Alligator mississippiensis: one gene and its partners. The protein of the gene in region 3 purifies or fractionates together with the protein of the main gene of each other region. This does not show direct contact. Links are inferred from orthologs where the notes say so. Each region holds a gene or a part of one and is shown on either strand. Other genes may lie near its edges.

Region 1 (7,166 bases), on a different chromosome or scaffold from region 3:
CTGCTGATGTAGTCAATCGTTGTCCCCCTTTGTTATATGATAAGTGGTTTATGTGCATGTACCATTACTGTGGGGATTTTATGCAATTAGCACAAGGAATGTTTGCTTACTGCTGTGTGATTGGCTCATTATTCATGTAATTTGTCATTTTTGATTTCCCTTTTGTCCTCGGCCCCTGTCTTTTTATTATCTCATCCGTGTTAAGCATAAAATAATGCTTATTCTTACGTGTTGGTGCTGCATCACCTGTATTAGTATATGTATCTAGCCACATGGTGGAGATACTGAGACCTCCAAGAATACAGGCTGCATTAAGTTAGGTAAATCTCAGAACTCTGAAGAGGCAGGAGGCTAAGACTTTCTCCTGTGATGGCAATCAGCATTGCTTCCATCTCTAGAGGAGTCCAGACTTGTGTAAATGCAGAAACTTCCTTTGAGAACACTCTAGTACTCCAGTTTTGCTTCCTAGCTGAGCTCTTAACCCTACAGAAACGTGGCTAACCTTCAGTTCTTCCTGTCTAATTTTATCAATTTGTTCCGAGTGGGTTGACTGCATTTTCCTCACCATTACAGAAAGTAGACTGGTTAGTGCCATGCTACCCATCGGACGTTCAAGCCAGCATAACGGAGGCATATTTAGGGTGTCTGTGATTGTGAAAGTTCGTTGCAGATCAAGTAAAATATTGTAACATACATTCTGTTGGCATTAAATATAGTTTTACAAGTTCTAAAGTCATAGCTTAAATCTTTGGTTTACACTACTTTGTGTTCCTCTCCTGGTTGGCCATGCCTCACCAATCAGCTGGAGAGACAGGTTATAGTAAGGCTGGAACAAACCAGCGTGGAATATGCAGCTTTCAACTCAGCAGGAGGCAGAAAGCCGTAAGTATTGTACAGAAAAGACTAAAGGAGACAGTAGCAGATTGGAGGGGGTTTTATTTGATTGATCAGAAAGAGAGTGCTTGGTCACTGGGAAGTTGGTGAAGCTCAGGATGTGAAATATTAGCACTTGGTGATGACCTCAGAGAGAGGCTAAGGAGTGACTGGCCATGAAGTTTCATTAATTGTGATCACCTAGTCTGGCTTCCTGCATAAGACGGGAACCTATTATGTTTGGTAGTGGAAAGTCCACTACAATTATTGGCAAGCTGTTGCAAAGGTTAACGACCCTAACTCGAGTGTGGGCTATATTTCTAGTCTAAATTGCTTAGCTTCAGCTTATAGTCGTTAGCTCTTGTACCTTGTTTTGATAGGCTGAATATCCATCTATTATCAAACTTATAGTTACACAGAAAACAGAAAGTGAATTGCCTTCAGGTCATGGCTATAAACTGACATATGTTGATAAGATAACTTCCAGCTTGGACAGTAGCATCCACAGATCAGACATGGCATGTCTTAGATACCTGCCCCATGGTACTGTACTGCAACAGTATAAACAGCCCCTGCTGTCTCTTAGTTAAAGATGTTTGTCATTAATGAGCCCCATGAAATGTGCATGACTAAAGTGCTGTTGCCTTCTTGTCAATAGTGTTGAAGTTAGCAAGGGTTAATGGGAGGGTAAGAGGAGAAAGGAGGCTTTGGCATAAGAGTTTCAGTTCTTAGTATGCACGGTCTGACTTCTCTTTAACACAGACTCACTTACAAATGTAATGTCATTTAGAAGCAGAGGTCAGACTACAATGTAATATGCAAACTGTTTCGACCTGTGTGACCTCTGCTTTTCCTCTTGCCCATATCAACAGCAAGAACTAATGGCCTTCAGAAAAAGTTCCCTCCAGGAGAAAAATCCCAAAATGGCAAAGCGATCTTGTTGAAATAATATAATAAAATAAATAAATACATACATACATAAAGATTTGGGGGTTTATTTCAAAATGGGAAATGAGTTGCTTAAAAATTCAGCCAGTATACTACAATCTTCAGGGTGTTCAGTAGGAACTGCTCCCTGGGTGCAGTTTATAGCTCAATAACTTGAAATGGCATGGGTCTGTGCTTACTCATGCAAGTAGGCATTGCCTATTTAAACATTAATAGCCTGCTGAAGGGGCATCCCAATAAGATTGCTTCTTGAACTTCAGTCTACAACATGCTTGTGAATAGACACCAGAGATAGCTGGAGTGGCGTTGCCTGAATATATCCAGATTTGGAGTATGCAGGCAGGAGCGGGTGGATGGGTGTGCTCAGGAATGTCCTGGCTGGAATATGTTGCGGTTATGTATCCCTAAAGGTCCTGTATTTCCCTCTCTTTGTGTGACAAATATAAAACAAAAGTGTCCAGAGCATAAACCTACTAGAATGTTTGGGTGATGGGAGCAATAACACCACTATTTATTAATTTGCATACAAGTCTCTATAGAACTATCAGGTATTAGGTACAGTTTCCCCACTGGTGGTTTTTTTTTTTACTCCAGAATAAAATGAATAAAATAAATACACAGAAGGTGTTCTAGAAAGTGTATGCAATAGGATTTGGGGAAGATTGTTCCCCTAAACCTCACACAACAGAGGCGATGTCTAACTTATAGATGGAGTAATCTCAGTAAAATCCGTAGAACAAACCATATGAGTGCAATTTCACGCTTTGTGTGCAGGGTGATGGCTTCAGGCACCCTAGACATTTTACAGGAAATGGTTACTATGCAGGAGAATAAGCTTAGCAAGTAGGTTGCCAGCTGGGATGAATAAAGAGAAATTCATTCATTCAGATCAATCATTCATACTACTGCAGGGAGCATATCAACCTCAGAATTAACCTCTTGCAGCCTTGTACAGTTTTGGACTATATGATCTCTGGAAGTCCCTTTCAGCCCTATTTTCTGCAGGGAGAAGTCTCACTGAAGTAGTAGTGCCTTCTGACGTAGGACCACAGAGACACACAGTAAGTAAGGGGAGCTCTGCTCTCTTATGAAAAAAATCAGTGGTCTTGCCAGAAAACAAAACTCTGCAACTGGAGGCTTAGGGAAGGTTTACACTCATCGTTTCAGAAGTCCTGCATGGCTACTTCCTACTCATATGAGCCTTCAACATATAGCCTGTACATTACAAATATCAAGTCCCAACAGTTAATCATGCCATATATTCTATTATTTCTCCTATATTATTTGGGAGACATCTTATGGCATATTTGCCTTAATGGTAGTTGCAACCAGCTAAATTCATTAGCATATCTAACATATACCCAGTTCTTACCCCATGTGGAGAGGGGGCGGGGTGTAGGCACTGAAAACAGATGTGTAGTATCCATATATACAGAAAGTTGTATTAGACAAAGTAGTACCAAAAGGCATGGTTAAAACACAGGCTTGAGAACCTAGAGATCTGAAATTCTTCTCTTCAGTTTTTTTGTCTGAAAAATGGGGGTAATATCTCAAGAAGGCAATATGAAGCTTAATTAATTACTTTTTAATAAAGAACTGAACATGGCTAGTATGTATGCAGTTCAAACAGAAGTAAGAGAGGGAAATTCCCAATAGTACAGCAGGAGTGAGAAGTACTCCTTCTGTTTGCTGACTGGTCTCACAGGTGCAAGCCATTGCACACATTTCTTATAGCAAATTCCATTATTCTGCTTCAGTGAATTAGGGAACCTGGGCTTCTCTGAACCAGGCTCAGTTTTGACAAGAGAGTTCTATTTGCATTTATATATTTACATGTAGTTATTTGAAAGCTCTTATATTTTGTTATCAGAAAATCTTGATCCCTTTAAAAGCAGAAGACTCAGAGTGTCCTTCCTCTTCAAAAAGGCCTTAAAATAGCTCCTCCTACAAGGGGCAAGGTCTTACCAATGTAGACAGCTTAGAATCCCTAGAGTTTTATAGAGCTGCAGCACAGCAGTACTTACTATGCTTGTTCTCTAAGCTATAGGGAAGAATGTTAAGGGATATGGAGATCTCACTAGAAAGGAAAAAGAAGAAGGAAAAGAATCGGTCGTTAAGTAAAAAAAAAAAACAACACAAGAGAAAAAGTAAGTATGTGTGTCCCCAGTTGGCTATTAGCTTCTTCTCTGAAGTTTCTTATTTTCTCATTCTTTTTGCTACAATAGGATCAATTAGAATGGATCATGCCCATACTTATACAAAAGAAGCAAGCAAAATTTACAGTAAGCAGCAGTATTAGTACTTACTACAGAGCCAAAGTGATTCTCCAGAACTAATAGATTTCCCCTAGAAGTGGTGCAAGCACCTACTCTGGATACCTTCAAGAAATACTTGGATGCTTATCTTGCTGGGATGATCTGACCCCAGCTGACTTCCTGCCCTTTGGGTGGGGGCTGGACCCGATGATTTCACGGGGTCCCTTCCAGCCCTAATGTCTATAAAACTAATGGCACAGAGACTTCCCTCAGTTCAGACAGGATGCAGAATTTCAGAGCTCTAGGCCTTCCTGCAGCCACTCTGTTCCTTGAATCCTTCTCTTTCCTACTCCCAAAACTCTGATGACCTACAACATTTTAAAAATCTGCTGCTGTTATTGTGAAGGGCTGGCAACATCTGCATTGGCACCAGTTCAAATTAACTGGTACAAACACCTGAATAGACGCTTATTTTTTTTTTTTAAATGTTTATCTTAAATCTGTTCCCAATTGGGTTAAATTAAAGTGAAGAAGTCTGGTTTAAATAAATTCTCTTGCACCAGTTTAACTAAATTGGTTTAATTTTTTTATCTGTAGCTAACTTGATGCAGCTGAGGTGGTTGACAAGCTCTTAACACAGATCATCTGTTGCGATCCATCTTAACCACACAGCTCTGTGGGGTTTTTTAGGTGTCTGGGGTGGGGTTTTTTTCTTGCCTTTGGATTGTCTTGATTATTGATAAATGCAAGTTTGAATTAGTGCTTTATTGTTAATTTATTATATTTGTATTCAACTTTAACTCCAGCTTCGTTTTACATGCTTAGCATGATGGATATGCAGACCTTATGACTAAGCTAGTAAATTTTCATATCAACTTTACAATGTGGCTTCTGTGATCACTTTTTCCACCAAACCCAGGCAGGTTTCACTGACAGCAGCCTTGTGCACCCTGACAAAGACTTGCAGTGTGTGTATGTAAAGTGGTGCTGACTAAGAAATACAGGCTGTAGGAAATGTGTGAATGGTAAAGATAGTTGAGGCAAAAGTAAGACCGTATACACATTGGTGAGTATTTACAGAATGATGGTATCAGAACTAGCCAAACTCTGAGAGGGCTACCTACTTATGTACTTTTTCCTTTCATGGCATATCACCACTGTAGCTCCAGTGACCATCCCCTTCTCTTGGAGATTTAGGCAATGAGGGGTGGTTGAAGGGTTTTGATCTCTTTATGCTAGCATGTTGATACAAGGGAGTGTGTGCGTTCTTTCTTCAGATACAGTGTATATAACATCTAGTAAGCCAGATGATTCATTATTGTTCCATAAGGGTGGGGCGGTAATTACTTGTATTTTTAGATTCCTTAAAATGATGCCAAAACATAACTAAAGTTTTAAGTTCTGAATTCGGGAAGGTACATTGTCCATTTTATATAAATATATTCTGAATGAATAATGGCTTTGAACAATGGACTGTTATAGGCAACAATCAGTATTTTACTTTAATAAGACCCCTATTTCTAATGTATAGTCCAACCAGTACTAAAGCATACTGATTTTTCTCATTCCCTTTTCATCCCAATTTCCGTTCCCTCTTTTTGTATGTTCTCTCATGAGGAATTCGCCTAACTTCTGCTATACAATACTTATCTTCTGTGTCTAAATGTACTAATCTGTGGGGGCTTGGGGGGTGAAAGCATTTCTGTTGGAAGGGGAAACTGCATTGAGGCATGTCTTTGCATGCCACTTTATGGGTGCTGAATACTTCATACCCTACTGCCAAACTGCTCTTTGGCCCACTATTGCACTAGTGACTCAATGATTTCAGCTGTAAGGAGTGTCATAAGGCACGTTGCACTACACTGACTGCTGCAGAACAGTCGTGTGATACTCCGTCTAGCTATTTTCCACAAGGGATCTCCTCAGCCATCAGAGAATCGCTGCAAAAAGTTTTTTGTTTTGTCAGCATCCTGATTTTCTTTAACAGTTTATGGTAATTTAGGACTAAAACTTGTAAGCGAAGAATCCTAGCCAGAATATATACACATTCCAGAAAAGACTGAGGACATCTGCCTTACATGATGTGTAAGTGCACTAGCAGTATCAGGGCACCCACTTTTCATGGTGGGAAATCAGGACAGCGTAGGAGGGCATCCAGAGCGTGGTGCTAGCGAGGTGTAAGGGTTAACACAGTTAACACAGAAGGCTTTTGGTGCTGGAGGCGAGGGAGAACTGTGCAGTAGGGATGGTGAGAAGGAGGGTGGCAGTAAGACAGGCCAGAGGCAAGCTTGTAATCCTTAAACTACATGTTTATTAGTGATCTCTGGTTTAGCTCCCTACAGCTCCTTCCTGTTGCTCCTAGGTGCAGCCTGACTTCTCTGTGTATGCCTAAAAATAAATGCAATGACCAGATTTTAAAGCAAAACCAAGAAGTCCTGGGTTTATTTTGTTTCACCCCCTTCTGCCCTTCCCCGACCTTTGACTCCCCGTGAGGGGACAGGGCCATCATTTGGGTAATGTTTTAGGCCCGGTGCCGATGGGCGCTTGCTTATCTTCATTTAAGGCTCGAAGGGCAGAGATCTTTCCCCGTGGGCAGGAGGCCTGCTTGACTTCACTTTCCGCTGCCTATTCTGGAGAGCCCGCGCGTTAGTGCACACAAGGACATCTCCATCCACCCACACAAAAGAGTACCTCCTACCGCGCGTGCGCGGAAAGGGGAACGCGCTTCCTCCGAACAGCCCAGCCAGCCCACGCGCCTCCCTCTGAGCCCCGCCCCTCTCCCTCTGGTCCCTCTAAGCCCCGCCCCTCCCGCGGCGGGGCCTGAAGGACCCCATGCCTGCCCGGGGCTGCCCTGCTCAGTGCCTGCCGGGAGACCGCCTCCCCCCAGCCCTGAGCCCCGCGCACCCCCACTGGGACGAGGCGTCTCTGTAAGAAGCGGGGCCCGCCCTCGAGGCGGGACAGCAGGGGCCGGGTGCGGCGGCGGAGCAGGCGGCGAGCTGGGCGGCCCCGGCTCGTTGGGGTCCTCCGCGGCGGCGGGCGGATCGGTGTCTCCTTCACTTCGCCCTCCAGCACGAGCGGCCGCAGCCAGCC
Region 2 (7,551 bases), on a different chromosome or scaffold from region 3:
AAGATAGGAAAAGGAGGAGGAAAGGATAGAAGGGGGCACAGCTGAGAAAACTGAAGGTGGGTTAAAAAGAGATCAAAAGGAATCAACAAAGCAGTTAACCCATTGCAGGATATAAGGGTTATAAAAGCTAGTCCAGGTAATAACATGCATGGGAGCAAGCAAAAAAAAAAAAAATTACTTGTAGCTACTAGCATAAGCAGCAATTTCAGCTTAAGAGCCTGCAACTGCCATTGTGTGCACTCCTGGTCCATCCCAATCAGACAACCTACCTGCCTCCACCTGTATGCTTGACGCACTCCACATACTCTTCTTCCAGGATTGCACAGCAATGAGGAAATACAAATAAGAGGCTAAACATTTAACAGTGCCCTCCCATTACACAACCACACATTTCTCAAACAAAGTAAAAGACACGTTTTTTTCAGAACATTATGCATTCAGCTAATATGTAATTTGCAACAACGACAGCTAAGGCTGCAACTGAAGACTTCCTGTGATCTCACATTGGCCCTGCAGCACAAAGAAAAGAACCAATTTAGACTAGAAAAAAAATTGTGAAAATGAGCATCTATTAGATTTAGATGCATTTCCAGAGTGATGTGAAGATAAAAATAAAGAACTACTGGAATGCATGAAACTAGAACTACTGGAATGAGGATTTTCTTTGATGATGTTACAGGTTAGCTAACCAAGCTGAGAATTTAGATTGTATTATCAGAAAAATAAATGACCATGCTACGATACAAATGGCAAAAGGAAGTAGAGTTGAGGTGAGTTGCTTAAGCTTAAATTCATTTCCTGACTTGTGAGAGAAGCTGCCCAGCTTTAACAACTATTTTAAACGTAGAATTTTCTCATGCAGAAAAATAAATAGAAGGGCAAGTAAACTGTGAAACTACAAAAGTGTGTGCACATGCGTGTGCTCAGCCTCTTGTACACTCGCTATACAACTCCTCAGTAGAGTACGTATGCTTGCAGTGACCGACATGGGACCCAGAGGCAGATCCAGCTCCACCTCTACCAAACTGCATGTGTGCATTAGAGTAAAATGTCACCCTTCATCAGGCGTCCACATCAACTGAATCGCCACAGCAGCCTCACCTTCTCCAAGATAAAATCGTCCACACAAAAGTGCCTGTGCAAATCAGGAAGTCTGACAGCAAGACAGAAGGTACCTTGTTCTTGTCCCACACGGAGGTAAGTATGTACTGTGGGAACCACTTATCATGAACCTGAATATGTTGAAATTCCACCTACGGAGGGAAGGACTGTCTCAATCTGCTTCAATCCATTTTAGCAAACCGTCATACTACCCTCATAATTTATGAGACCCATTTTCTCTTTTCTGCCAGAGCAAATGCAACAGAGCATTAGAAGCTACTGGCATCTGATGCTGCACTGCTGGCCCAGAAGAGTGAAGGAAGGACGGCCTTTGGCTCTGGAGTGAAGTGTGTGTGTGGGTGAGGAGGGAATGACAATGCAGGTTTCTGACCAGGCTCTTATGCTGCTGCTCCCCAGAGAAGGAAGAGGCTCCCCACCCAGGTGCCACTCGAGTTTCACTCCCCGAGAGCCTTGAGAATATCAACAGACCACTGCCTTCCTTCAAGACTTACCTGCCAATTCAGTTCCTCTCCTGCCTCCCAGATGCTCTCAATGACTTTGAAAAGAACAAGAATAAAGACCATAAACTCCAAAAAAACAGGAGCTTCCAGGTATGGAGAAATGCTCACTTGAAAGGCTTTAGTGCTCATGGGGAATGAGAAAAGAGACTCAACTTCTCTGAGCAGGGGTCTCAGAGTTAACTGACTCCACTACAAACCAGTCCTGCAGGCAAGATATTGGGCCTCTGAGCTTTCCTTCTTAACAAAGTCCCTCTCAGAGGCTTTTTCCTATAAGCAGCAGGATTTCTGAACTGAAAGGCTCACATCAGAGAGAGAGAGAACAGGGCTTTGCAAAGGCAGTAAGATCACTGGGCAATAAGCTACACAATTACATCTGTGATGAGTTGGAGGCCACTTATTCTCTCCACCCCACAAATTGCACAGCTCCACTTGGATGATGGGTGGAGCAAAAAGCAGAGGAGGACTGTTCACCTGCAGAGCCATCTCCTGGCATCTCATGGAGCACAAGCCAGGTAACACCACACAAAATGGAAGGTCAATCTCTACCGAATGCATCCTAAGCAAAGAGAAGGAAAGAGTCCCTTGCAAGGGAACACCTAGCCTCTCCAGACTCCTGCCCTTGGGTTAGGAGTGGGGTGGACTTGCTGGCAGAGCAGCTTCAGCAAATTAACTGCAGAGGGCAATGGAGGAAAGAGGGAGCTCCTGGCAGGGAAGGTGGCTCTTCCCCACTGCTCCACCAGCTCAGCTCTGCAAGGTAATGCAGAGATCAGCAACATCCATGAGCCAACAAAGCAGTGCCCCACTCAAAGCATCACTGGGCAGCTTGGCACAGCGGTGGTTCTGCGTGGCCCACGGTTCTTTTGTGCACCACCAGGCCTGCAAAGGAAACTCACTCCTCTCCTCTTCTGAAACAACGCTTCTCAGGTCATCAGCCCTGGAGCCCTAAAAGAAGGAAGACTCCCAGTGCCATCTCCAACAGGAGAGAGAGAGAGAGAGGCAGGGGGAGGGGAGAAAGGAACCAGTAACCCACAGAAAAGAAGTAAATGCTGAGAAAAGCCGAGAGAAGAGCTGACTCCTCGACTATCACTCAGACTGCTGTCCCCACAGCTTTTCCTCTCACAGCAAAGTTCAGGATTTGAAACCGGGTCACTCTAAGCTTGCTAGTAATTTGCCGCTTGTGAAAGAGAAAAGGAGTCCTGCACATTCGGCTGATGGGAGAGGCGACAACAAAGTTACCAGGAAACACAAGATTAGGCAGGGAGCAGAAAGCAGAGCTGCAAATGAGGCAGGCAGGCAGCACACCGGGCAGAGAGCAGAAAGCGGAGCAGCAGGCCGGGGGCATAGCGCAGGGAGCAGAAAGCAGAGCAGGCAGGAGGCACACAGGGTAGGGAGCAGAGAGCCCGGCAGATTGGGCAGGGGGTACAGGGCAGGGAGCAGAAAGCAGAGCAGCAGGTGGGGCAGAGGCACAGGAAAGGAAACAGAGAGCAGAACAGACAAGCAGCACAGAGCAGGGAGCAGCGCAGCAGACGGTGTGGGGGCACAAGGCGAGAAGCAGAAAGCAGAGCAGCAGTCGGGGCTAGCGGCACTCACCGGCTCGGCGTGGGCATCCGGAAGCGCAGACCTCTGTCCCCACGTGACCGGCGGGCGGGGCGGGGCCTGGGCGCAGAGCCCCGCCCCCTGGCTGGCGGGGCCCGGGCTCCGGGCTCCGGGCTCCGCCGAGCCCGCTCCCGCCCGGCGGCTGGTCGGCGCCACTGGCTGAGCTCGCGCAGGGGGGGCGGGGCCGCCCGGGCTGTCGCGCATTCAGTGCCCAGAGCAGCGCAGAGCCCGGCAGCGCGCGGGGCGGGGCGGGGCGTGGCGGGGCGGGCCTCCGGTGCCGCCCCCCGGAGCATTGCTGGGCTGGGCCGGGCTGGGCTGATTTGAGCCCCTGCCCGGGTGCGTGCGGCGGGCGCTGCGAGCGGGGCTGGCTACCGACACCCGTGGGCTACTCGTGAGACAAACCCGCAGGCGTCCAGCAGGCCTCCGTCATGGCAAAAATGTTGGCGCCTGTCGCAAAGGCGGCTTTCAGACCGAAGACTTGCTCCGTTATTTTGCCGCCATCAAAAAACCCTATGGAAGTGGAGAGGCAGCAACTTCTGAGGGGTGCCTCGAGTCTAACAAGGATGCTTCAGGTCTAAAAGGTTGCTTTCCCTGTACAACTCTCCTGCCCCAACCAGGATTCGGCAGGGTGGGTCATTTGCTATGGAGCAGACTGCGTGGGGATATGGGAGGTTTGCTGATGCTTGAATCTTTGAATCCAGGGCAGCTCTCTTTTGAAAAGACAAGCGCCATCTCAACCCCAAAGGGCCTGGGCTGGCCCAGGAATCTGAGGGGGGAAGTCTCAGCCTTGTGCTGTCCAAAGAGCAGACCAGTTGATCAGAGTGGTTGTTTCTGGCCTTGATGCTGCACAAGGGTGCAAAGGGGAGTTGGCTGAAAATATTAGGAGAATTCACATGTGTGTTCCCCCCACCCCAAACTCACCACTTTGTGTAACTGAAATCATGACACGTGTTATCTTAATGATTGTGTAGTCATGATGGTCCATAAATTATGCCAGGATTTCTTAGGGTGACACATTTCCACACGTGAAAGGTGAGGAAGACCCTCGTCTCTTTTTGATAGACCGTGATCTCGCTGTGATGAGCTGCTTTTGTTCTGCCAATTGTATGCCTGCTACCCTTCAGTGAGCTAAAACACAAAAAGGAAGCTGATAGGAAGTGGAAACTTGGACAAACAACTAGGGAGGGGTATAACAGTATTGCTCAGGCATGCGGGGATGAAATCAGGAAGGCCAAAGCACTACTGGAGTTTCAGTTGGCAAGGGCCATGAAAGGTAATAAGAAGGGTTTCTACAAGTATGTTAGCAACAAGAGGAAGATCAGGGAAATTGTGGGTCTATTACTAAATCAGGGAGGCAGCCTAGTGACAGACGATGAGGAAAAGGCTGAAGTACTTGATGCCTTTTTCGCCTCAGTCTTCACAGGCAAGGTCAGCTCCCAGACTAGTACACCTGGCAGCACAGTTTTGGAAGGAGGTAAGCAGCCAACTGTGGCAAAAATACAGGTATGGGGCTATTTAGAAAATCTGGACATGCACAAGTGTATGGGGCTGGATGGGATGCTGAAGGAATTAGCCAATGTGATTGCAGAGCCTCTGGCCATCATCTTTGAAAGCTCATGCTAATTGCAAGAGGTCCCAGAAGACTGGAAAAGGGCAAATATAGTGCCCATCTTTAAGAAAGGGAAGGAGGATCCAGGGAACTATAGACTGGTCAGCCTCAACTTAGTCCCCGGAAAAATCATGGAGCAGGTCCTCAAGGAATCCATTTCTAAGAACCTTTGGAGGAGAAGGAGGTGACTAGGAACAGTCGGCATGGATTCACCAAGGGCAAGTCATGCCTGACCAACCTCATTGCCTTCTGTGATGAGATGATTGGCTCTGTGGATGTGGGAAGGAGCAGTGGACATGACATACCTTAAACTTTACCAAGCCTTTTGATATCGTCTTCCACAACATTCTTGTAAGCAAGCTAAGGAAGTGTACAGGTTGGTTAAATGATCTGTAAGGTTGATAGAAAACTGGCTAGATCACTAGGCTTAGAGGGTAGTAGTCAATGGCTTTAATGTGTAGTTGGCAGCCAGTATCAAGTGGAGTGTCCCAGGGGTTGGTCCTGGAGCCTTTTTTTTCAATCCACGTAGGACTGAACAATCCCATTCACTGATACAGGCTGGGGACCAACTGGCTAAGCAGCAGCTCTGAAGTAAAGGACCTGGGGGTTACAGTGGACAATAAACTGAATATTATCCACCAGTATGCCCTTGTTGCCAAGAAGGCTAACAGCATACTGGGCTGCATTAGTCGGAGCATTGCCAGCAAATCAAGGGAAGTGATTCTTCCCTTCTGTTCAGCACTGGTGAGGCCGCATCTGGAGTAGCATCCAGTTTTGGGCCCCCCGCTACAGAAATGATGTAGACAAATTGGAGAGTCCTGCAGAGGGCAATGAAAATGGTTAGCGGCCTGGGACACATGACTTATGAGGTGTGGCTGAGAGAACTGGCCTTATTTAGTCTAGAGAAGAGAAAACTGAGAGGGGATTTAATAGCAGCTTTCAGCTACCCAAAGTGTGGTACCGAAGAGGATGGAAGTAGGCTGTTCTCAGTGGTGGCAGATTTCAGAAAAACGGTCTCAAGTTGCAGCAAAGGAAGTTTAGGTTAGATATTAAGAAGAGCTTTCTCACTAGGAGGGTGGTAGAGCACTGGAATACGTTACCCAGGGCGGTGGTGGAATCTCCATCGTTGGAGGTTTTTAAGACCCGGCTAGACAAAACCTTGGCTGGGATGATGTAGTTGGGGACAGTCCTCCTTTAAGCAGGGGTTGGACTAGATGACCTCCTGAGGTCCCTTCCAACGCTAATTTTCTGTGATTCTACCCCTGGAAATTTCTCTCACCCCTTCCCATAGTTGGTTTTTACAATGCTGTGCTTGGCTTGTGATCTCTTCTGGTCAGATCTGATGAAGAATGCCTTGCCTTTGAAAGCTTGTCCAGCTCTACAGTTGGTCCAATAACTGTACAGTTGGTCCAATAAAAGACATCATCCTAAGGAATCCTTGCCTTGCACAATTCATTTTAAAACTTTGTCAGTTCTGTAGAGGGCATTTTCCTGATGCATCTTCCTTTTCCTGGACTTCTTAAATTGGAAAAATTTCAGCTGTTGTGAGGGCAGCCAGGCTGAGATTGAGCAAGGGAGCAGTAGCGGTAACTGAAAAGGCTCAGTCAGCACATAGCAGCTGTCACCACCAAACTGCAAGGCACGTTCAGATCCCTGTACTTCTAGCTGTGGTCACCAAATGTGCTGCTGAGCATAAAAAGTGCAGTATGGAATTGTCCCTGGCAGCCAGCAAAAGGCAGGCAAGTGTCTACGTGTAATTTCTGGCTGCTGGGAGGCAGCTAAAGTCTTCCAGTCAGTGAAAGTGCCACAGAAGGTGCTTTGAGCATGAACAAATTTGATCTCTAGATTCTCTCTGGAGATGCTTAATAGCAGGAGTAAAAGTTCTGGCTGTGGGGCCAAGACAAAGGTTGGCAAATGCTAGAGGAACTAATTGTTAAAGCAGAAACACAACGTGTGCCTCCCCCTATGCTGTACTCCCAGGCAAATCCCTGCATTCACATGGAAGTAATGTTACATGTTGAGCTCCTTGGGGAACCCAGGCCTAGCTGCATGTGTCTTCTTTCTCTGAGTGTCCAAACTGAGCTGCCCCACCACTGATTTCCAGAAATGCTGAGGACAGACAAGTGCAGCAAAAGTCAGAGGAGAGTTGCTGGGGAGATTCATTAGACTTTGGCATTGTGGTCTGTAGTAATATGCCTAAAACTGGGAATTGGGGGGCTTTGTCTATATGTGGCCCCTCAACTTGCATGTCTGTTCCCTGCCCAGCCCTGCACCTGTTCTCCCATCCAGCTCTACGATCAGAGTTGGGCAGGGAACAGAGTCTTCAGACTCTGCCAGTAGGGAGTTCCCTACCCCTGCTCCCCAATCACGGAGCCAGGGCTGGAAGATCCTTATCGCCCCGCCAGCTTTGCAACTGCGTTGCTGACACTGAAAGATAAGGATATCCCAGACCCCAGCTTCCTGATCTCAGTGGCGAAGCCGGGGTGGGGAGATAAGGAACTCCCAGCTCCTGGTCCCCGATCCTGATCTCAGAGCGGGGCCTGGGAACTCATAGATTTCATAGATTTCATAGACATTAGGGCTGGAAGGGACCTCAGAAGATCATCGAGTCCAGCCCCCTGCCCCAGGGGCAGGAAGTCAGTTGGGGTCACAGGATCCCAGCAAGATAAACATCCAATTTTCTCTTGAAGGCGTTCAGAGTAGGTGCTTGAACCACCTCCGATG
Region 3 (7,984 bases):
TGACAGGGAGACATAACCCAGCTGCCTGTAATTTCAAGGAGACTGCTAACAGTCAGTGACCTTGTCTAATGTTTAGGAATCCTTAGGCAAGGTAGGGGCTAGCTTAACAGAGTCAGATAACTGCAGAACTAAGACACTCGTAACTATGCGCAGCCACAGTTAAATACTTTCCTGCAATTCCCAGAACCAACCAAATTTAAAGAGGAGAGGCGCGTCAAGGTCTTACATAATCAGAAGTCATTACAGAAGCAGGTTTTAGAAATAGAGAGACTCAGCTAGAAAAAGAATCCAACACTAACAGGCAATTGTTAGACAGCAATTGCTAAAGCCAGTGTCATGCTTGACTAGAACATGTTTGACCTGAACATGTGAACACTATAAAGCACTTGGATCCTTATGACTTTGCCTTCGAATAGGTAGGTTAGCACAAATTTTTCCAACATGTTTAACAAGGCAGAAGTACTGCTTTTAACCCAAGCTGTTCCATAAACTAGTGAGCAAGTCCCAACTACTTTGGGCATTCTGGCAGCCAGGCCAATTCAGCCATCTCATGCATTGTCATCCCCCCCCCAAATAAAAGTTCTAGCATCAGAAACTTAGACAAACACACTATTTGAACTTAACCCATTTCAGGCTGGGCAATAAAAAAAAAAACAAACAAAAAAACCCCAAAAAACAAAAAACCAAAACAGTACTTTTAAACAAGGACAGAAGAGGCATTATGCTACAAATCTCAGCCTTAAGAGTATCCTCTTTGTCACAGTTTCTTCAACTTCTGTTACCAATAATAAACACCCTTGTGACAGTTACAAGTCAAGCTTGGGTAGAAAAAGTCTACAGTAGAGACTGCAAGGCTACGAAGCAGATACTATATACTAGCATTAAAACAACTCTTCTAGACTTCAAATTCCCTCCTAGAAACTGCATTGATTTGAAGAGGCACACTAGTCTCAAACTATGCAAGAATTGCATTGGTTTAAGTTCACAATTTACTAGTGGATATCAAAATTCAACTCCAGCCATTATGCAACTCCACCTGTCCAGAGGACCAGCAGCTCCCTCCATCTTAACTGCATCATAACATCCTGCACTATTATCCCTTTAACTTGCATTCTAGACCTCTGCTGGGATGCATTAGGTCTGTATTTCTGCACCCATCCAGTCAGGGTTGCCCATGTCAGTCTGCAAATTGCTGGCTCACAGAAACATGAAACACATTCAGAGAAGAGAAATCCAATGTAAGTTCATTTGGAACTTACATTCCTGGAAAAAGATAACCCGATTGTCTATGAGGAAATCTGGCATATACAAACTTTGTCCATAACTTTGTCCTGACAGGAAACAGCCTACCCACATAAAAAGGTGCAGCCCTTGCAGTGCAAAAAACTTATATTAAAGTCTATTTCAAAGTACAGTAAAACTACACTTGTCTTTGGGACATTTGTTCATAGCAGTAAAGCAAGTAAGACTCAAGCTACAGCAGCCAGTTTGTCTTAAAACAGGATAACTTTTTTTTTTTGAGCCAACACAGTGCCCATGTTATACCACAGGCCAAAGCTAGCTCTGCCCCCAGCAACTATCCAGATGTAGTGCCATCTTGTACTGAAAAACCCACCTAAAAAGTCGATTTTGGATTTGGGCTGTTAGTATGTACGGGATAGCTACTACAGGTAAACTGCTATTGATACCAGAGCCATCACGGGTATCTGCAGTACTCTACCACACAGACCTCTCAAAAAATGTTGCCACTTGCTTGTGAAAATTCCTTGAAAGCCAGGCTTCACAAAACCCAGCGTTCTGCCTCAAGCTACTTTATAGCTACACAAAAGTTGTATCATGACAACAGCACTTAATCTAAATGGGGGCATGGGGGGCGGGGGGGGGGAAGAAGACTAACAACAACAAAAAGCCTGCAGTTCCTTAGTTTAACTTCTTAGCTCCTGAGAGTCTTCACCATTACTCTTCCCATCTGTTCAAGGGTGGCTGTTGGAAAAAAAAACAGGACTTGTGGTTCTTTCACAGCAGTTCTGCTTATTTCAGCAGTTTAACAGTATCTTGCACTTCTCTAGACTAGAGGCCTGTGATTGCTATCAGTTGAGAGAACCCACAAGAGAAGTGTTTGCCATTTCATCTCCAGCCTGGCGCTTGGTTCGTTTAGGAAGAACAACATTCAACCTAGGATACTTTCCTTGTTCACTCAATTCACCATACCTTGACAAAGTCTTATTAGTTCATGGATAGCAAGTCATGTGTGTTTGGTCAGCTGCTGAAGTCACAAGGGAAAAACAGCATGCTTCTTCCTGACTAAGAGGGTATGGCATACAACAGCTTCAATTACATAGCAATATCCAGCTGACCACCCTGACATTACCCCAGACCTATTTGTAACTAGGAGCAGTTGAGCAAACGCTACGGGCAGCCACACTTGCTCTGTAGAAGCCAGACTGGGCACTGGCTGACACCACTAACTGACAGCCAAGGAAACCAGTATTTCCAAGTCAGTCATATTAAACACAGAAAGCCAGAGCCAAGCAGTGGCACGCACACTCTTCAGCAGGGCTGCCTGGGGGGTGAGGCCCTTCTGCCCCAGGCAGGGGTCCAACAACACTGGGTTACAGCTTGTCAGGCACACACAGCTGCCAGCGAGAACAGCCAGTGCCGGCCACCAGACACCAGCAACCGCTCTGAGCTGCCCGTGCACTGCTACAATCCCACCTTGCCTGTTCAGCCCCAGCACCTCGCCCCCCCCCCCCGACACACAATATCCGCTCCTCCAGCTGGGCTGGGACGGGGCCGGAGCACAGGCGAGGCTAGATGAGGCGGAGCAGAAGCCGCGGGGGGACCCGCCCCCGCCCTACGGGCGGAGAGAGGGGGCTGCACCACCCCCGGCCACGGGCCCCGTGCAGGCCTAAGTTGCCCCTTGCGCAACAACCGTCCACCAAACCCGGGGGGGGTGCGCGGGGGGAGAGGGCGGGTCCTGCCGCACCGCCCCCGCGGGAGGAGACAAAGACCCCCCCAAACCGCCCCGCCCGGGGTCCCCCGGGGGCGCCGCCACCCTGAGGCCCGGGAGCGGAGGGAGGGAACAGCGACACTCACCGTCTGGTCGGGCCGCGGCACTGCGAGTGTGGCCGCCTCTGCGCTCCGCTCCGCTTTAATGGGCCCCGACAGCTCCGCTTTCACTTCCGCCTCCCCCTCCCCAGCTTCCGGTCACGGGACCCGCCCGGCGACGCGTAACGTCAGCGCGCAAGGGAGAGGCCGCGTCGGGACCGCATCACGTGACCCCCCGCCGGCCATCTTGGGCCCGAGCATGGGCCTGGTGGGTGGGGTTTGTGTGTCACGTGGGGCGGGACGGGGTATCGTAGCAATGCAGGTTTGTGCCCGTGTTGACGCTCGTAATCCGGATTAAAACTGTAACTCCCGTGGCCGCCTGCAGCTGGCTGCTGGGACCGGGGAAGGCTTGTCCAGACAGGCTGGGACAATGGTTCACACGCACATTTAGCCCTGACTGGCCCCGGGGCCACGTGTTAATTGATATCCCTCACAGGGACTTCAAGAGGGGCAGGGGGGTTGTCCCGCAGCAGGACCCCGCCCGAGTGGCCTTGTCCCAGGACAGTCAGCCTGGCCGCACCTGCTGGTGGGGACAGCCCTTCGTGTCCCTGGCGCAGGCCCCTGGACGCGCCGGCTGCGTGACCGGCAGGGACAGGAACAAATCCCGCGGCAGGAGGACTGGGAAAAGCACGCGTCTGGCGCTCTGCGAGGCCCCGCGTGCATCCTAATGTCATTAAGTGAAATCAGTCATAATCTGCTGCTTGCTTTATTTCTTGCTCTGCTTCCTCTCTGCTCAAGCCGAGCTTTGTGACCAATTGCCCCTGTATCGGGTTTTGCTGCTGCTCAGCTCCACGGCCTCTTCTGCGAGGGACCCTGGCTGCTAAAAAGCAGGGTCGCCACCGTCCAGGAGTCTCCAGGGTTTAGACGTAAATCTCCAGGAGACTGCTGAGGGGCACCGGAGGGATAAACGATAGGGCATTCATTAAAAGAAATATCAAATGTTGAATTTGATTTATACGGTAGTCCGGTGAGTTTTTAAAGCATAACAGCAACGTGCTTTTGCCTTCCTGATGTAAAGTCTAAGCGCCGTAACGTGTGACTGGTACACACAAGCATGTGGCACATTTGAATTGTGTGCTGGCATTTTGGTAACCTGGAATAGATTCAGAGTTGGCAACCTTCCTAAAAACCCTTGTGACTCTACGCACCTCTGCAGGCGTGCAGTCCCCCCCTTAAATCTCATGCTTTAGTCTATAATCCTCCTTCCCTCAGACATGCACAAGCAAATTAGAGCAGGGGGTAAAATGTGGGCCAAATGTGGAGCTCCCAACTGGTTGAGAAATTTGGCAGCAGGGGAGCAGTGGCCATTAATATGGTCCCTGCTGCCAAATTCTCTGACCCCCCCAGCCCATCACACAACACAGCCAGATCAGGGCTGGGACACGCTCCCTTCCCCTGCACGGCTGGATCAGGGCCAGGCTGGGCTGTCCCCACCACCCCGCTTTCCCTCTCCATGCAGCCACGGCTGTACTTGCCCTGGGCGTTGGATTGTGACCACCAGCCAGATCCAACCCGTGGACAGACCAGGCACTGCTCATCTGGCCCACTAGGGAAAAAGGCGGATCACCACTGAATTAGGATAAATCCTTGAACAGAACTTCTAGGACAAGATAGCTGTAAAATGTCAGTGTTGATTCACTTGCTTCTCATAACGTCTGGACCCTCCTCAGTTATAAAGGCTTATACGTATACGGTTGGATCCTGCAAATACGTGCTCAATTTTAAACTTTAGCATTCCCAAATCAGTGGGATTTCTTATATTTGAAGTTCAGTATGTGCATAAGTGGTTGCAGGATAAGGGTTGGGCCTTAGTGAAGAGGCCTTTTCTCTGGACTAGCCATTAAGCTATTTGATAAACCAATGATTATATAAATGTTAAAGATTTATTTGGGAAGAAATTAAAACGGTACCTACTACTTGACTACTAATGCTACTATTCTACATAGCTTGTAAAAAAATCAGTGACCCATCGCTATTTTATATTTGATTTATATTTTCCTAGCACCCAGGTACCCCAATCATAGACCAACAATTTGCCATTCTTGAGATTTCTAAGGAAAGAAACAGAAATAAACACAATTTCTTGCCAGTCTTCTAGCATAACAATCAATAAACAAAGATTGATTCAAAGCTGAACTAATTTTTATTCTACAAGGCTGGTTTGTAAGTGCTACATTGAGCATAGCAGTCTGGTAACAAGAGAGTTTGTTACGTAAAAGATTTGCTTATAAATTAAAAATGGTGAGCTGCAAAACGTGTCTAGGTGCACTTGTTAAGCAATGATTAATATAAGAACAAGCAGAAGAGCTGCAATGGGATTGTGTAAGCTCACTGACACCCATATGTGTAAGAAACAGTAACTGTCCTGTATATCCTGCCATGCATACTGGTAGAAGACTCATTGCATTATTCAGCGTGTACTTTCATATGTTATAGTATTTATCTTAATCACATGATCAGTTAGCTAACCTGTGGATCAGGGAAAGGAAAAACTAAAAGGACCCAGGCAAATTAAGTAAAAGATAATTTTAGCAAAGTTCTTTAGAGGCATGGTGAAAAAGTAAAACCCTATATATTATTTTTAATTCAGACTTGAATTCTTGTATCTGCAAGAGGTGAAAAAGCTTATGATTAAGAATAAAAGAATAAACTTAGGAATCAAGACACTGGTTTTTCTCTACCTATTGAGACCTGCTGATAGAAGAGCAGTGCAGTATTATGTTACAAATAAACTATTATCATCGTTATAATCTGTTGGGATTTGCAACCCTGTCAAAAAAAATATCCATCACAGAATCCACTGCATCTTGGCTGTATTGCTGCAAAGGGAACCAAATGAAAATGGCTTATGTGAGAGTCAGGTCTTCAGACCTGGTACAATATCATTGCAATCAATGAGAGATTTAATATCGCCTGCATGAGGTACTGAATGGGACACTTAGAGCAGAGGATTCAAAGTCAAGAGAGGTTATATCCCTGACTTACATGACACCGAATAAGCCATTTACCTATTCTATGCCTCAGCCTCCCCATCTGTAGGATGCTGCTCGTGATATGACCCTGCTTGCAATAGGGTTCTGATGTTTATTAATGGTTACTAAGCACACTGAGATCATTAAACGGGAAGGACAGGGTGGTAATTAGGGTAATGGACTATTGAACAGAAGAATAAAGACTTAGTGAAAAGGTCTAGGACAGAAATCACAAAGGAGAACCATATCTCTAGACATGGTGCTACCAAAATCCACCCCATGGAGCCTATTTTGCCATGGGTTTCAGGCGTGGAGTGACTATAGCAGTTGCTCTATTGGTGTATTCCCCTGAGAAAAGGCTGTAACATGTTGGATGAACTGCAAACACAGTGCCAGGCTATTTAGCATAATCCCAGAGGAAGACCTGTTTTGGGTTATTCAGGCCTGAGATCCTAAACTGCTCGTCTGCCCTGGGACAGAAGTCAAGTGACAACTGCCATGAATCTCTTTTCAGCCAGCGCTGACCGGACAGCTGTTGGGCTCCTCTGCCCACTTTGCTAAAGGTTTCTTTTTATTTTTTCCTGCATGGTACATAATGGAAAATCCTGCCTTCTCTTGTGGTGTACAGTGATTCTGGCAACAATGCCACTTGTTTATTTTCAGTGGGATATTTTTATTACATGGTGGTTAGAAAAAAACCTAGCACAAGGCTTGGATGTTGCTTTGTTTCTCTTTCTGCATAACTGACAGCTGTGCCATGCAAAAATGTTCTTATGGTGGCTTGCTAATCCTTGTAGGGAATGCTGCCTTTCATCAGATGAATGGGCTCCAATCCAGCTCCCATTGAAGTGAACAGGACGTTTGCCATATATAAGCACCACAACTGGTTGTGTACGTTGCAGTTAAATTCAAAGACACAGAAGTTAAAGAGGAAAGATGTTATGAAGACAGATGGAGGAATGGATCAAGGCATCCTGATAATTTTGTTTGGATCCTAACGACAGACACCAAAATCAACCAAAATACAAATAAGGCTCTGCTAAAACAAAAGCTCAGTTCATCAGAAACCCTTAGGAAGAGATTGGCCAGCACAAACTCTTTTCATAGCCTGGAAGGAAGTCAGTGTTTCCTGTCCAGTTCCTTGAGAATTAAAAACAAATCAAACCTTGAATATTGGATCTTTTTGAAACTGTATCTCAACTCTTTGCAGTTGTAATGGTGTAGGAATTGGTGGCCTGCCTATGACAGACATTCATACATGGTAATAGATTCAGGTCCTTTTGCTGGGTAGCCTGAAGTAGTCCTTTTTTGGGTTGTCTGACGTAAGACATCAAGACATTTTCTTATATGAATTCCTGCAAATCAGGAAGTAAAAATCTGCTCCACCATCGTCTTGTTCTCTGTGACGAACAGTCTCCATTAGCTAACCTGTCTACCAAGCTAAATACTTGGGACACTTTGGAGCACTTAGAACACCTCCTTCCATTGATTTCCTTTAAACCTCCAGTTGCCTTACAGCACAACTGTTTCTCACACCTTGGGACACATGCCCCCATGTGCAGCAAACTTCTGCAAGGTAGCTGACAGAAAGGCATGGGGAAGCAGAAGATGGGAAAGTGGAACTAAAAATGTGGGAAAGGAAGAAATAGAACAAATGAAGAACAGATCAACAGTATCAGTAAGGTTGTTGGAGCAGTTCCTGTGTGGTTGAAGTGACAAAGTGTCACTTTTTTATTATCCGTAATATGGAATCATAGGGGAAACAGCAGTTTAGCCAGCTGACACAGGAGTATGGGACTCAAAAATGTTAGTTTAATCCAGCTCTACACTAGACAATACAAACAAAGTAAACAGGAAACACATGGAAACGTTTCATGGAAGAACTGGCAGAGAGGCTGGTCTAA
Region 4 (8,211 bases), on a different chromosome or scaffold from region 3:
AGAAGCTGGCTGTATAAACAGATAAACAGTGGTCCTTGCTTCTATGCAAACATAAAGATATGTGGAACTTGTGGATAGGCATTAAGAGAGCACCATCACTTATTCTCCCATATGATCTGTTGGGAGTCTGGTGTCATACAGAATGGAAAAGTCAAGTCCCAGGGAAAAATGACAGACTGGTCTCCATGAGGAGTCTTAAGAGACAGATCCATTATTATTATTATTATTATTATTATTATTATTATCATAATCATCATCACCATCATCATCATAAAAGATTAAACTGCCTAATCTTATAATTGCAATCCTGAAAATCCCCACCCAATTGCCACCTGACCCTGGAGGCACCTCAATTCCAGAGATGCCTTACTTTTGATCTTTCCATTTCCACGTACCTAAAATTCCACTACTCCATATACCAAGAAGTGTCCTGGATTTGAGATGCTCCAGGAATTTCTCTGTTTGAGAAAGCTGTATTCTCCATATGTGCCATTATCCCTCAATCTGAGTGGCAGCATCTTGCCTAGCTCATGCCTAAACCAAATCTGCGTCTAGAAATGATTCATTTGTCTGCTTGAGTCCCCTGAGGGACTCAGTCCTGTAGCTCAGGGGTGCCACAAGTGACACAGGCAGCCTCTGTGTGTGGCACATGTCAGATCAGGGAGTGGACAGGCAGCACTGTGGCAGATAGGACAGGGAGCAGAAAGCAGAGCAGCAGTTTGGGCAGGGGAAGGGGATTGAAATGGCACTTGGGGAGTGTACAAGACTAATTTATGGCATACCTGCCAAAAAAGGGTGACCCCAAGTGCTGTAGTTGTTCTCAGAGTATGGTTGCCACACACACTCAGGCTGGTACAAGCACAGTGCCAGTTGTGCCAGCTGTCTTTCAAAACGGAACTGGAGGAGGTGGTGCCAGCCCAGAGGTTAGATCACTAACCCTGGTACCTAGCCCTAGGTACACTCCATGCATGTACTCAAGGTATACTTTCTGCTCGGTGTGCTGCTTGTTTTAGAACTCATTCTGAGGCACCTAACTCATCCAATCTGCTGTATAGGGAGCTCAAGCACCGAACACAGGTTGTATGTGCTGGTCTAGGAGCCAGCTGCCTTAGAAGTTAAGTGTGGCAATGCCTTCATTTTAGTTACTTAAGGGTTTTTTTGATCTATCCTAGGAGACTTTTCTATGGCCAAGTCTTGCATAAGCCATTTTATAAATGGGGTAGAGCCATCTGAGAAATTCTCTTATAAACAGATACCATCAAAGTGGCTCATGGAACTATCTTAGGCATTTTTATAGTACCATCAAATCCTTTCCAAATGCTACTGATGGTTAAATGCTAATATTACTTATGTCTTAGTGAGTCTGATATAATGTGGGAGACGATAAAATTTACCAGAAGGGCATCGAGGAGCTGTTAACTTGGCACATGAATACAGAGACTCTGTTTTTAGAACAATTAGGCCCCAGTGGCTGTGTGTGGGCACCAGGATCCACCCATGCAGAGCAGCTAACAGAACTGGGGCCTTAATTTGGAATCTAAAGTTGTGCACAATTTATAAACTGAGCTGCTCCTGGCAGCAGGAAAACCCATTGCTGTGGCAACCGTAACTGTGATTAGTGAAAATCAGAGGCTCTCCCTCATTTTCAATTCATAGGCATTTAAAATGTCTTGTTCTGAGGTCTGCCAATGCGGGAATCAAAGGATGATTGCCCTGACAGTGCTGTTTATTCATAATCTTTCTCCTCTCCCCTGCTCCTTTTTAAGGTTGTTATTAGCGACGCCCAAAAATTTGTAATAAAGAGCAAAACCAGAATGAGTTTCCACTGGTTCCTTTCTCCACTTTGGTGTAAGTATACCAAGAGAGGTGTTACGGGTTACCGTTAACCATTCTAAAGGCACTTAAAATGAGAGTGTCCGCGCATTAATGGGTGTTAAACTGTGTTAAGTTTAAGATACTCTCTAAGTATTCCCCTTACGCACGTGGCTGTATTCCCCTTATGTACTATTATTCTTGCCTCTGAGTGGAAGCCAATATTCTAGGCCTCGTGGGTTGTTTCCAGTTGGAGGAGGAACTGATGACAGAGCAAGGTATTTCTTTGATGCAATCCTGTTTATTAAAAGGTCCTGTTTCTCTGAACGTAGGACAGTCGCGTGGCAGGAGGCAGTTTGCAGAATTCCAAACCTCTTCCCAGGCAGCACTCTGCCCAAAGCAGTTTTCTCTTGACTGTGCTTTTCTCGTCATGTTCTTGCTGCTTTTTGTCTGCTTTTTTCTGTCTCCAACCAAAGTAATCTCCAATTCCTGTATTTGACTTCAGTTTAGTAACATAGATGGCAGTTTCTATTGGTTTGGTTATCACTAAACAAAATGATCTTTACTTTTCCCTTCATTTGGCGTGTATAGAGGATGGCCACTGGCCAGCATGCCCAGCATCTTGAAATGTCAAACCTATTACCTTAAATTGCCATAGGTATTGTCTTGGTGTGAAATGAGTCCTTTCTTTGTTCTTTGATCCACTTCCACTTGTCAGTACTTACTTTAAGATCCAATGTGGAAAACCAGATTGAGTCTGTTTACAGCATCTAGATTAACATCTATTTTGTCATAAAACCTAAGAATCCTTCAAAGTAGCTTCATGTTATTTCAATAGTTAAAATAGAATGTGCTGTCATTATTTATCTTAAGCAGAAACATAGATAAGGCCCAAGATCAGACTGAAGTCTCAATTATCCCTTTCTGATACATTTTTAAATAGCTTGTAAAGCCTTGTTCTCACTGGTAGAGGATGAGGGGCTGACTACTGGACAGAATTCCTCCTATATCAGTTTTGAGGTAGCCCAGTGCAGGACAGTATATGCTTTACAGGACTGCTGGAACAACTGGTTTCTAACCAGAAAGTCTCTTAGATCCTTTTGCTGCTCCCCATTTAAGTGTACAGCACTGGACCCAGTCCAGTGGAAATTCTGCCAGCTCAGCTTTACCTCTTTCTCCCTTTGTAGTTTTCTTCTGTGCCAGCATTTCCTAAATTCATTCTTCACAATTTTTTAGTATTAGCTGCTCATCAAGAACATTCAGCAAGTGAACAGAAATCCATTTCTACTTCATTAGAACACAAGCAGCTAAAATTCCCCTGAGACCCTGGGTCCCAAAGCCCCCTGAGACCCTGGGTCTCAAGCCCTCCCCATCTTTCCTTTCCTGTTATGGTTTCTGTCCTGAAGCAACAAGGTAACTTACTGTAGGACCAGTAAAATAACTATTCTGCATTTTTTTCCTCCAGTAGAGACAGTGATTGGAAAATGGAACCAATTCAAAAACCGGGGAAATTGGTTTTGAAAGTAAGACTTCTAGAATTTCAGCAAGAAGTCTGAATAGCCAAGATAGAGGATGAGCTAATAATTGGTTTGGATATCATATGTAGTTAATAACCATGTAATTAAATGCCAGGAAATGTGTCCAACAAATTAACTCAGTGGAAATTCCTTTTAAAGAATTAAATGAAATTCAGTCAAAAGCAGCCAGGCAGTGCACAACAGCAAGAGACAGAAAGAGGAGGACTGGAACTGTAGTCTAGACCTAATACCAAGAGAGGACACTTTTTTGGGGGCAGAGTGCTGCTGTGGGAAGAGGCTTGGGATTGTGAGCCAGAAAACAGTTTCCTAGAGTCCCTGAATAAAGTAGGGATGAACACACATCTTTTTGTGTACACTGTCTGGAAATAAACCAGACTAAACCAAAGAAATGCCCGACTCCTATATCTGCTTCACTTCCTAAGGAAACAACCCACCATCAAGTCCTGAATATTGGCAACAGAGGGTAACAGAATTGAAACTGGCCCTACTTTCTCAGCTTTTCTCAGTCCTTTTGTATATCCTGGCGATGATATTGGTACTGGCTATGCAGTAGTCACTGATACCGAGGGGGACCGCCTCTGCAGAAGCTTTCCACCTTGCCCTGAGGGTGGCGAGACTTAGGCTCTTGCCGGTCATTGGTAGCAGTGAGTTTCTCAGTTGAGGGCCTTTCACCATAAACACCCTTGCCTTTGGCTCTGAGAAGTTCACCCGAGGTTCCTGCTCGTCATCCTCACCATGGCTGCTTCATGACCTGGAACGGGAAGTGATGATGTAAAACGCAACTATCTCTATAACTTTGGACTTCGTCTACTTCCATATGCCCTTCTGCTTCTTCCACCGCTCCTGGGAGACGGCCAACACCCTTTAAATAAAACCCTCCGGCCAAAAATGCCACCGAGTCCTCTGAAACCCTGCCTCTCTCCCCCCGAGTACTGACACCACCCTGCTGTGCAGGGCCGTCCTTCGGGTACGGCGCGACCGCTCTGAGCCCCGGAGAGACTGCGGCCCCCACTGCGGGACCTGCCTGGAGCTGGCGGCTCAGCCCCGCGCCGCGGGAGAAGCACGGAGACCTCTCCTCGTTGTGGGGGTACCACGGCCCTGCCACCCTGCTAGGCTCGGCTCTGCTCCTGTGTCACCCTCAGCGCTTCCTTCTCACCCACGGCCCCGTCTGCCCACCGCTCTCTCTGTAGGCCCAAGGTCCGGTTTGACTTCTCCTCTTGATTCGGGACCACTTCGCCCCCCGACTCGACGGCCGTCTCCTGCTCTCGGCCGGCCTCTCGCGCCCACCGACCCTGCATCACCGCTCAGCAGGAAGAAGTCCCCATACCCCAGTGTCACCCCCCCGTCCCTTTCTTCCCCCCACTCCCTTGCTGGTGCTGGGCAGCTCCTTGGACCCCTGCCCCGGGGAGGGGGCAGGGGGAGCTTCCTTGTCGTCCAAGATTGGGGGGAAAAAAGCACATCCTGTTCCCCTTCCACCCTGCTGCGCGGTGCCAGGCCCGCCCGCATCCTCCCGGGCTCTGCCTCCGCCTCCGCCCTGCTCCTTCCTTTGCCCGCCCCCGCCGCTCAGAGCCCGGCTGCAGCCGCTGCAGCGCCCGTGCGAGCGAGCGAGCCAGCGAGGCAGGGAGGCGCCTGGAGCCCGCGGGGCCGCAGGTAACGGGGCCGGGGGGATGCATCCCGGGGCCGGGGTTCGCATGCGGGTCCTGCGCCGAGCACCGCGGGCTGGCGGGCGCGGCCCGGGCGGCGGCGCGGGCTGGAGGTGACCTTCCCGCGGCGCGGCAGGGCCCGGGAGGCCTCGCTGCCCTGACTCAGCCCCTGCGCCGGGCCCGCGGGGATGCTCCCCGCGCCTCTCCATCGGCCTCAGGCCCCAGGGAGCCTCAGCCCGCGCTTCTCCCGGGGGCCAGGCCGGGACACACGTTTCGGGGCCTGCGTAGCCCTGGAGGGGCTCATCCAGGTGGCACAAAGGTCTGTCCATCGCGTGGCCGCCGGAGCCCCCCTCACTTCTGCACGCGTAGCCTCGCCTTCGCCGTTCCCGGGTCCGGAGGGAGCAAAGGTCGCCGCGGCTCCACCCGCAGCGCCGGCCCAGCCGTGGTGTCGGCCGGTCTGACCCCTCGGTTTAGCCCGTCCGGGCCACCGCCGCCGCGTGAGAGACGCGGGCGAATCGGGCCGAGCGAGTCCTCGCCAGAGCGGGAGAGAGACCAGAAGCGAACGCGGGCAGCGCGCCCTGGTTGCGCGTGCCGTTCAGCATCGTGTCTTGGTTAATGTTAATCTGGGGCAAGGCGCCTGTCGGAGGTGAAGGGGTGCAGGTCGTAGCCGTGTTGGTCTAAGGACACGGGCGGACAAGGTTCTTTGGGTGAATCTCAAATCTTTTATTCGCCCAGCTTCAATAGTTGGAAAAAAATATTTAAGCAAGCTTTCGGGTTCGCCAGGCCGAGTCAGAGGTGAATTCCCTTTCTGTGGGGCAGGCACCGCAGTGGGGAGCAGCAAGCGAGTCTGCCTCTGCCTAGCAGCAGGTGGGCTGGAGATGTACCTTGCAGAGGGACTAAATCAGTGCCCTCGCCCCTCTGCCTAGTCACAGCCTGGCTTGGACCCACTCTTTCCAGTGGTGGTAAGGCGGCTCAGCCAACATGGTCCCTGGCTATTTGTTAAAGCAAAAAACCACAGCTCCAAGCGGAGCAGAATTCACCGACGCTGTTGGGTTCGGCCTCCCGGGATAGCAGTAAAACCGAGTCCATGTTGGATTTGATGTTGCCCAACAACGGCAGAAGCCATGTAATTCAGGTTGTATTGGAGGATCACAGAAAATTTTGTCTTCTCATTCATGTGACATTTTTCAGACTTTCTCTGAAGACCGACTTGTACACTGCAGACCTCTCAAAAATGCCACCCGGAACAAGAAAAAACAAACTTCATGCAACTCCCTACTTGTTCCTTTCATTTTTACCCATCCTTCTCTGTACTCTTTCTCTGTCGTCTTCCTACTCTTCTGTCTGATTGTATGGTGGGGCCTGAACGGGGTGGCCCGGATCAGTCTGTTGCTATGGCAGCCGGCGATGTCCCCGGTTCAGGGGGTGACTTTCCTGTAGGAGGAAATCTGCAGGATCAAAGCAGCGAGAAGGCAAATCCCAAACAGGAATTTTGGTGATTTAGCAAATGAAACGCACGCTCATATAAGATTAAATATGATAAATGCTTTTTTCTCCTGGGAAAGGAATCAGCAAAACAATATATGCTGGAGGACCAACATTTAATGGGTCCACTCCTCTGATGTGGGTGTGTGTAGATGACATGGTAGACATCGTATGGCATAAAGAGTGCCTGGTGCCCTTGTCAGGGTCTCACTGCTACCCCCTGTGTCTTGATACCTGGTGGCATTGTGCTACACTGGTGCTGTAACAGTGTATCTCCTAGGCTAGCTGGGCCTATTATTCCACTGTCTACCAGACTGGGGCAGGGAGAATTGTATCCCTGGCTTTGGTTTAATATATATCTTAAATCATACAAATAAACAGGAAAAGGCTTCAGTGAAATGAAGTCTGTATCTACTGCATTTTCACCTGTAGAATCAAGAGCAGACACTTTAAAAAAATTTCCTTAATTCCCTAAACACAGATCATTAAACTAGGTTTATACATATGTGCTAAAGGTCTCCTAAAAATGTTTATTATTTGATAAATCCTAAAGAGAGAGGAACCACTAGTATGTGGAATACATCAGTATTTAAGGCCTGTTTATTTGGTCTGTCATGTGTTGGTTTGGGGTGGTTTAAAACATGTGTGCTAGCTCAGGAAACTACCAGTGAGCCCCTGCAAACTGTTTCATGAAGTCCGTGGGGTGCTGCGGGGGCTCAGGAGCATGCTTGGGTACAACAGCTGGCTGGCTTCAGGCTTAAGTTGGAAGTCACTGTGGTGACTTAGTTATATGGCTTCAGTGGAGTTGTACAATTGTGCAGAGTTTATGCTTCAGCACTTAATTCATGTGTAAGGCAAAGCGTTCACAAAGTGTGTACCTAGCTCCAGATTCTGGAGAACCTGATGTGTGGGTTTAGTTGAAGACATCATTTCAGTGGTAGTGCTGGTGTTTTAAGTTGACCACATGCAGAAGTCGTGTCAGGATTTGGCCCATAGGGCCTGATCAATACCTGAACAGACTTGTTTTTTGGACAGGAGCTGTAGTTTGAGGCACTGATGGCTGTTTTCCGTGTAGATCGTTTTTCCATAGGAACAGAGGACTGAAAGGAGTGTCTCTGGCCACTAGATCCAGTCCCCTGCATTATCTGCAAGCAAACATTTACCTACAGGTGCCAAAAATGTGCATTCCAACCCTCGCATGCCACAGCGACAAGGCACAGCACCAGATATGCAAATAATCCCCTGTACAGCAGTTCAGTGTTTTGCAGTTTTATGGTACAAACTACTACCCCTCATTTTGTAATATTATTTTTAATTTATGAATTAAACTTTGGCCCGAGAACCCAGAACATTGCTTACAGTTGTGCCTCTGTGCACTTGAAGATCATTATCCCAGCTGTTGAATCAGATGTCTTAGGTTTGTGGATCATAAGGCACAAACCAAGGTGTTGTTCTGCCTTCTGGTCTGCACAGGGAGATTGTAATTTGTCTCATAATCTGTGGTTTTGTATTGCTGTGATGTGCACCAGTCACTCGTTGTTTAGTGAACATATCCTTGGCCTGTATTATGGAAAGACTGCATTTAAAGTGCTTTAAAAAGAATTCTTATGTGGAAACAGTGAAATTAAAGTGCTTAAAAATTCAGTTAGGACTAGTCTTTACAGAGATGTATTTATAAAGTCATATTTATATGGGCAGATTGGCTTGAACTGAGGGGTAAATGCAGACTTAAT

Evidence for each region. Proteins that work in one complex are often made in the same cells at the same time.
Region 1: the proteins of RAB7A (region 3) and VDAC2 purify together in Homo sapiens (affinity purification with mass spectrometry; 3 studies listed by BioGRID and IntAct, with this or other methods). This does not show direct contact. The link is inferred for Alligator mississippiensis from reciprocal best matches to the Homo sapiens genes RAB7A and VDAC2.
Region 2: the proteins of RAB7A (region 3) and PLEKHM1 purify together in Homo sapiens (affinity purification with western blotting; 5 studies listed by BioGRID and IntAct, with this or other methods). This does not show direct contact. The link is inferred for Alligator mississippiensis from reciprocal best matches to the Homo sapiens genes RAB7A and PLEKHM1.
Region 4: the proteins of RAB7A (region 3) and VDAC1 purify together in Homo sapiens (affinity purification with mass spectrometry; 3 studies listed by BioGRID and IntAct, with this or other methods). This does not show direct contact. The link is inferred for Alligator mississippiensis from reciprocal best matches to the Homo sapiens genes RAB7A and VDAC1.

What each region holds. Positions count from the first base shown.
Region 1 is NC_081829.1:27,927,670-27,934,835, forward strand, and holds the start of VDAC2 (voltage-dependent anion-selective channel protein 2), read left to right. Parts: upstream 1-3,871; 5' UTR 3,872-3,874; coding exon 3,875-3,968; intron 3,969-6,364; exon of another isoform or gene 6,365-6,464; intron 6,465-6,552; exon of another isoform or gene 6,553-6,706; intron 6,707-6,980; exon of another isoform or gene 6,981-7,166. UniProt on the Homo sapiens protein: Non-selective voltage-gated ion channel that mediates the transport of anions and cations through the mitochondrion outer membrane and plasma membrane.
Region 2 is NC_081827.1:160,284,243-160,291,793, reverse strand, and holds the start of PLEKHM1 (pleckstrin homology domain-containing family M member 1), read right to left. Parts: upstream 3,296-7,551; 5' UTR 3,213-3,295; intron 3,185-3,212; exon of another isoform or gene 270-3,184; intron 245-269; exon of another isoform or gene 1-244. UniProt on the Homo sapiens protein: Acts as a multivalent adapter protein that regulates Rab7-dependent and HOPS complex-dependent fusion events in the endolysosomal system and couples autophagic and the endocytic trafficking pathways.
Region 3 is NC_081835.1:19,832,033-19,840,016, reverse strand, and holds the start of RAB7A (ras-related protein Rab-7a), read right to left. Parts: upstream 3,203-7,984; 5' UTR 3,097-3,202; intron 1-3,096.
Region 4 is NC_081832.1:69,786,837-69,795,047, reverse strand, and holds the start of VDAC1 (voltage-dependent anion-selective channel protein 1), read left to right. Parts: upstream 1-4,916; 5' UTR 4,917-5,000; intron 5,001-8,211. UniProt on the Homo sapiens protein: Non-selective voltage-gated ion channel that mediates the transport of anions and cations through the mitochondrion outer membrane and plasma membrane.